Linked DNA regions of Danio rerio. The protein of the gene in region 2 purifies or fractionates together with the protein of the main gene of each other region. This does not show direct contact. Links are inferred from orthologs where the notes say so. Each region holds a gene or a part of one and is shown on either strand. Other genes may lie near its edges. The genes, in order: lig3 and pnkp.

Region 1 (3,836 bases), on a different chromosome or scaffold from region 2:
ACCGAATGCTGATATTTTCTTACAGTAGTGGTAATATACACAAAACGGGGTCATGGGGTGGTTCTCCTCAAGGGGTTCAAAAAGAACATTTATTAATATGAACTTCTTAGATACAAACAAGTACAATTTAAGGTACTGACACAGCTTTGGTCCAATTTGTGTATAATAGTAGACATGCACAATATTCAAAATATTTACACAATATATATATATATATATATATATATATATATATATATATATATATATATATATATATATATATATATATATATATATATATATATAATAAATATTTTCTTTCATTTATATTTTAAAGATATAATAATTTAATTTATGTATTCATGCATAAATCATGCTTTGACAGCTAATATGCCGGTAATTTGATGCTTCGCAAAAGTTGCAGGCACCTTTACAGATATCAAAATTAATTTTGATATCGGTAAAGGCAGTTATTCCTTACGCTGATTAAGAAACTTGAATAGGCTAGTCTACTATAATAAAGAAAATCTGCTCTAATTGTAAAACTAAATAAATAACTGAATACTCTTGACACATGAAAGTGTAAAGCCTGCAGCCCACAACAAAGATGGAAAGGTATTGCATATCAGATTTAACAAACCATTTACTACAAATTTGATATAATTTTGCTCACATGGATAACTAAATATTAATAAGATGATGTCATTACGCTGCTGTGTCCTCAGCAGCAGGATTGGATTGCTGATCATGATTTCAAGTATCGATAGATCTGTTCCTCACAACACACGCGATATCAGATCAGTTCATGCAGACAATTTAATCTGATTGAAGAACCAAATTTGTTTAAATTTATTACATTTATTAATCATAGGACTATGTGTCATTGTCATCTGAACTACCAGTCTTATTTGCCTTGCTTCATACCTTGACATTAACAAAAAAATATATATATATTAATAAGTACTGTGAATATGGACATATTTATGTCACATACTTTTGTTTTTGACTACTTTATAGTAGAAAATTGTGTGATTTTTGCATAACGTCATAATTTTTATCTAACAGCAGCGATTCTGGACCTATGACAAACTTTTTATTTTTTATTTTTTTTAAAGGGCCATGAAGGGCCATGAGATTAGAACGCGTCTCTGGCAACCAACTTTATTGCATTGGTGCCATGTAAATGGTTCTGTAGCTCTGAACAGACCCATTACTGGCCTTCATTTAAAATTAAAATGTTTTAAAAGTTGAACACTTGTTTTGGAGTTTACAAAACAAACAACATGTGGTATATACTGTAGTACCCCACTAATCAGGCTTAATTTACCTTTATATCCTTCAGAACCAAGCCCTCCAGCCCCTCTCTGATGACACGCGTGATCATTTCTGCCAGATCAGGAGCTCTCTGTAAAGACACAATGCCATTAATTGTTATAATAAGTCACCCACTCTGAAGGCTTACCATAACATCATCCTGTAATTAAATTGACCTGCCCACACTTTGGTAAACATTCTTGAATCTTCCATTATGTGTAAAGAAAAGACATCAACAACACTGCAGGACTTACTGTGACATGCTTCATTTCTGAGAACAGAATTCGGTTAGGAACTTCCACCATATTATCATGGAGAAACTTTCTTCTCTCACAGAGAGGCCTAAAAATCATAACCAGATCAACATTTCAGAAGCCTTTTCTTTGAAATTTTCCATCAGTCTTTAGTACAATGGTTTTATTGTTCTCTAAAACCTGCAATAGCTAGAATGAATGCCTTCAGGTTGACTCACTTGTCCATTAGACTGACACCATTAAAATAAATGCAGTCGAACACGAACAGGCCCACTTGAGCATCCTGAAAAGCGGCTTTCTGAAAGCATACATTAAAACAGACAATGGTTTCAGATCAGACAGATTCATTAAGTCTGTAATATTCACTACCTCTAAAACTTTCTTCTTTTTATTTTTTTGAACAAAAGAACATTTTATTTGGCAAAGGTGGATTGAATTAAAGTGAAAAGGAATTATGTTTTGAAAGATTTCAATTTTAAAAAAATGCTGTTCTTTTTAACTATCTGAACCAAAAAAATAGTTAAGTTTAACACTTAAGATGCTTCATAATGCAGTCCTTAATTGTTGAGATGACCCTCTAATTAAATGAGATGAGTCTTTGATGTGACCCCAGATTTTTTACAAATATTTTATCACTGTCTATCCATTTTCTAAAAGTACCATGTTTTATGTAAAATATGCATATTCTATGCTCCAAAAAAAAAAAAATTATTCCTGTAAGTTCAGACATCCAATTCTGTTGGCTTATGATTGTATCAAAAATCACAAAATAACAATAGAAAAGTAAATGGCAATAGTTTTCATTGGTGTTAATAATCAAATTTTTAATTATTTAAATTTTATACAATACTTTAAAAAGTGCTTAGAATTTTGGTACTTCTTAGAATTTTGTTTAACCTCTTAACTGGAGTTATTTTTTTATATTGAGTGCGTTCAGATGGTAAATCAGCCCAGTCTTGAACTATATATCTACTAATTATATATATATATATATATATATATATATATATATATATATATATATATATATATATATATATATATATATTTCTTTTTTTTATCTAATAATTTAAATAATTTTGCCTAGAAATTCTTCTAGGATGTTTGAGGTAATAAGTTCAATGGTCTTAATAAAATGATATCATAAACACAAAATCAGCAAAATAAAAATGATTCCTAAATGATCGTGTGATACTAAAGATTGACGTAATGCTGAAAATCCTAATTAACATTTTAAAATATTGTAAAATAAAAAGAGTCAAAAATTACTGTTTTTACTGTATATGTAATCAAATAAATACAGACTTACAGAAACTTCTAATATAAGAGTCTTGTATATAAGGGGAGAATATTACACAGCTCTCTGGTTTACCTTGTGTACTCCAAGAGTCCCAAAAGGCAGTGGTTTGCTAGTCTTTGTGTCAATAAGAAGAACTTCAGCATCAAGGATCATGCTATGACCACCAGCAAACGCCTGCGGTATGAAGTCCTTAAAATGGGCAACCTGTGGGATAAATTAAGCCATGTCTTAAACAAATATTAATGGTTTCAGTATTAATATATCCCCAGGAATTTCACTTGAACAGTTAATAGTTGCCGGAGGACCTTACCTTGTGTGGGAGGACTGGTTTGAGACTGCGACTGAAGTAACTGAAGTGATTGCCGTTCTTATGGACCTGCACGCGCTCACCATCATATTTGATCTCAGAATACATCCCATTAGGACACTTCTTCATGGCGTACTCAATGGACTTGCATGCCTCTGCCTAAACAAATAATATTACAAAAAAGACAAAAATATAAGCATTTAAAAAATGTAATTCAATAGCAGAGATTATATAGTTCCTGTTTCTAAACCTCTTTACTGCTTTTGAACCAACAAACTAGTCTAAATGAGGACATATGTACATCATTTTTCATGTTCGTAATATCGAATCTAATCTATAAATGAGTAACAATGAATCAATTGCTTACTTAACCCAAAAATACATTCTGTTAACTTTGTGGAATTAAAAAAAAATAATAATCATACACGTTTGGAAAGATATACAAGTGCATTTCAAACTAGAATATCGTTGATTTATTTTAGTAATTAAATTTGAAAAGTGAAAGTCAGATACGATTCATTACACACACACACTGATACATTTCAAGTGTTTTGTTTTTTTTAGAGGGTACCTTTTATGCAAAAATGACTTTTATAAGGGTTTAAACACAGATGTTTGGCAACAGTGGGTAAAAATAACCAGCTTCTAGTGGCAAAAATGTATTCATTTTATTTTTTCA
Region 2 (3,836 bases):
TATCACTACTCACCCTGTTCACGTACGCATAACCCTTTGGAATGATGTGGGTCTGGAAGAACGTTGACTTGCCCGCTGAAAAACAAAATAGGTTTAGATTATACAAAATTCCAGATTAGAGTAGGGAAAAAAACAAAGGGAAAAAAGCTCTCACCTCCAGGAAATCCCACAGCGACAATGATTTCCTGCTTGGTAGAGGTGAGCGAGGCATCAGGCGGATCATAAAGACGTGCTTTAGAGTCTAATTTCCTCTGGACAATGGCATAGAAAGACAGAATATTGGTAATGTTGTTCAATACTGTTCAAAAGATTAGAGCTGGCAGCCTGGCATGAATTTTGTTGTACTCGAAGGCAGGATTAATCGCAATAAATTTTTTTTTAAAAGGTGCGATTAATTAGTCAATTTTTTTAATCGATTGATATATATATATATATATATATATATATATATATATACACACACACACACACACACACACACACACACACACGCACACACGCACACACACCACACGCACACACATACGAAACATAAATATTGGGGAATAAGCAATCATTTACTGGGTCAAATTCTGGGAAGCTGAATGTAGCAGGTTTCCAGCCCAAGAAGTATTCCTCTGGGGTGTAAAACTGAAGACCAATGTTGAGGGCAAACTGTGGGCAAAGGACAGGAAAAAAAAAATCTAAAGGATTTCAAATTCTGTAAAGCTGACTAAAATGGAGCAAGAACAATCCTATTGTGCCCTCTCCTGGCCAAAAAAAGTAAAGACTTTATACGCAATAATCATATGCTGTAAATTAAAAAGAATACACAATTCAGTAATTCAGTATTGAATTAGCTATTTCAGTCATCCAATGAGCAATAAAGACTCCTAATGTCATTACCAGTCTGTCACTGCAGGAGAAGTCTTTCTTCTTTTTCCCTGGGGCCCAGTTAGCGGGACGTCCTGCTGCATCTGTACATGAATATATAAATTAATGAATGAACGAATGACCAAAAATATTTTGAATCTTCTTGCATTATCACATAATACATTTAAAAGAATGTATTCTTGTACATCATCTTATTATCTTTTGGAAAAACCTGTGTCATTTTCAGTCAAACAAAAAAACGTGCTGGTTGAATAAAAATAATTTTAAGTCAGAATTTGGCAGGGGTATACATAATTTTGGGCTTGACTGTATATTATTATTTCTTTAAATAGCAAAAAGAATCATGAGTTGTTTTTTTTTTTTTTTTTTTTTTTTTTGCTTTATAACTTGAATTAGGGGTCATTCTAACTGCATTCTAATAGTCTTCATCACACAATCAATATAGAGTATTTAGTTTGCTTGTTTTAAGCAAAAGTGAGTGACATCGTTTGTAATTTCAGCTTACACATTGTAAAAAAAAGTACAATATTAATCACAGATAATCATATTACAAAGCTAATCACACTCAAAAGGATTCAATTGAGCTCACCTCCTACATAAAAGCTCTCTGACACGTCTACCATCACTCCGCTATTCGCCTGCAAAACACCACAGTAAATGTGTAGCAAAACATGATGTGGCTTGCTGCTTATAACATAGGAACACTACAGTAATGCAGTCCCTCTAATACAAAAAAGTAATCGTGATTTACCTTCTCACACAGATGCTCCCACATCCCAATGACAGGTTTTCTGTAAATCCCAGGGGCTGTGGAAACAAACACCTGAAAAAGACAATATACTTTCATTTGTAAATTATATCCACACTTAATTTTATTCCACCACAAGTCAATGTATTTAAAGCAAGAAATCAATACTTTTGTCAAACAAAGATATATTAATTGTCAAGATACATTCTAGTCCTTTATCTTAAAGAGTTTTTTTAAAGGTTAACATTTAGATAAAATAACAAATGCTGCACGTTTCATTTTCAAATTAATTTGTAAAAATCTGCTGTAAAATATTCACTTCTGTACCCCTCTCTATACATACAGTTGAAACCAGAAGTTTACATACACTCTGAAAACAGGAACATAACCATTTCTTTTTAAATGTCTGATGGTAAATCATACTAAACGTTTACTATTTTAGCTCCGTTAGGATTACCTAAATGATTTACATTTGCTAAATGCCAGAATAATGAGAGATTTTTTTTCTTTACATTTTTTTATTAATTTCTTAACAGTTAAAAGTTTACATCCATTTCCTTGGTATTTTTTTAGCTTTGCTATTAAACTGTATAACTTTTGTCAAATGTTTTGGGTATCCTTCTACAAGCTTCTTACAATAGTTTGCAGGTATTTTGGCCCCTTCCTCCTGACAGAATTGGTGTAACTGAGGCAGATTTGCTCGCACAAGCTTTTTCAACTTTTTTTTTTTTCAAGCACATTTTAACGAATTTGGCAGTATGCTTAGGGTCATGGTCTGTTTGGAAGATCCAGTTGTGGCCAGGTTGTAGTTTCCTGGCTGATGTCTTGAGATGTTGCTTCAGCATTTCTACATAATGTTCTTTCTTAATGATATCATCTATGCTATGAATTGGACCAGACTCTTCTGCCGCTCCCATTCACCGTTGGGATGGTGTTCCTAGGCTTGTACGCTTTCACCTTTGTCCTCCAAATGTAACACTGGTTATTATGGCCAAACAGCTTAATCTTAGTTCCAATCAGACCTTAGGACATGTCTCCAAAAATTATTCTTTTTCCCAGCGTAATTTAGCAAATTGTAATCTGGCTTTTTTTTTTGTTGATTCTGGCTTGTTGATTTTCCCATGTTGTTATACAAGGAAGCAGTGTGTTTGAGGTTTTCCTTAAATGCTATTCTACAGTTGTGCCTCTAATTAACTCAAATTTTGTCAATTAGCCAATCAGAAACTTCCAAAACCTTGACACCATCATCTTTATCATCATCATCATCATTTTCAGAGGCATAGTAATCGTATTGTATGTAAACTTTTGACTTTCAAGAAAAGTTCTCAAAAAATATCTCTCAATATTCTGCTATTAAGCATAACAGAAACTAAATTGATAACCCTAATTTACCTAAAAGAGAAAAAGTTTAGTCAAATTAGCATCTGACTTCATAAAAATGGTTATGTGCCTTTTTATACAGTGTATGTAAACTTCTGGTTTCAACTGTAAGTAAGAGTAAATATAAAGAGTGAATATAAAGATGAATATGTACAATTGACTAAACATGCCAGCATGTATCAACAGGGTATATGTAAGAATCCTAAAGGTAATTTCAACACCTTTTTAGGAGTTTGGAAAAGACCTTCTCAGAATATTTGAAGACCTCATCAAAACTTCTAAAAAAAGTTCTAATCAGTATTAAACCTTTAAACTTAATAAACAGATGTTAATCAACTGTTGTTAATAAAGAATTGTAGTTAAATAAATCAATGGAGCACAACCATGCAACATAACTCAGATAAGCTCGGAAGAAACAAAGCTTGAAAGAATAAATTACGTGGTTGTTTTCAATGGCAGGCTTCAGCCACTGTTTAAACTCATCTTTCTCCAACCAGGAGTACGCAAACATATACTTTCCTATCTCCCTGTCTGTTTTGCTCTATGGTTTCACTACACTCGGACGGTGGAGCTTGGCCAGATGCGAAGAAACTTATATTATATACTTTTTTGGAGTAAAAACACTTTGGACAACGCTTGAACAAAAATTAAGTCCTCGTAAAAATGTGATTAAGACTTTTTCATACCTTTTAAAGCCCTTAATTTTCTCATAATTGATATAAACTTGTATTAATTTTTAAAAACCCGCGGACACACTAATCATTTATTTTATTTAAAACTTAAATGTCTGTGTAAGAACAAAATTGACCATTGCCATGTTTTCAACATTGTTCTA

What was found.
Region 1: the proteins of pnkp (region 2) and lig3 purify together in Homo sapiens (co-immunoprecipitation; 5 studies listed by BioGRID and IntAct, with this or other methods). This does not show direct contact. The link is inferred for Danio rerio from reciprocal best matches to the Homo sapiens genes PNKP and LIG3.

What each region holds. Positions count from the first base shown.
Region 1 is NC_133180.1:66,748,472-66,752,307, reverse strand, and holds part of lig3 (DNA ligase 3), read right to left. Parts: intron 3,317-3,836; coding exon 3,161-3,316; intron 3,055-3,160; coding exon 2,923-3,054; intron 1,849-2,922; coding exon 1,769-1,848; intron 1,639-1,768; coding exon 1,551-1,638; intron 1,388-1,550; coding exon 1,310-1,387; intron 1-1,309. UniProt on the Homo sapiens protein: Isoform 3 functions as a heterodimer with DNA-repair protein XRCC1 in the nucleus and can correct defective DNA strand-break repair and sister chromatid exchange following treatment with ionizing radiation and alkylating agents.
Region 2 is NC_133190.1:16,213,944-16,217,779, forward strand, and holds part of pnkp (bifunctional polynucleotide phosphatase/kinase), read right to left. Parts: intron 1,697-3,836; coding exon 1,625-1,696; intron 1,512-1,624; coding exon 1,463-1,511; intron 957-1,462; coding exon 886-956; intron 655-885; coding exon 562-654; intron 252-561; coding exon 155-251; intron 76-154; coding exon 14-75; intron 1-13. UniProt on the Homo sapiens protein: Plays a key role in the repair of DNA damage, functioning as part of both the non-homologous end-joining (NHEJ) and base excision repair (BER) pathways.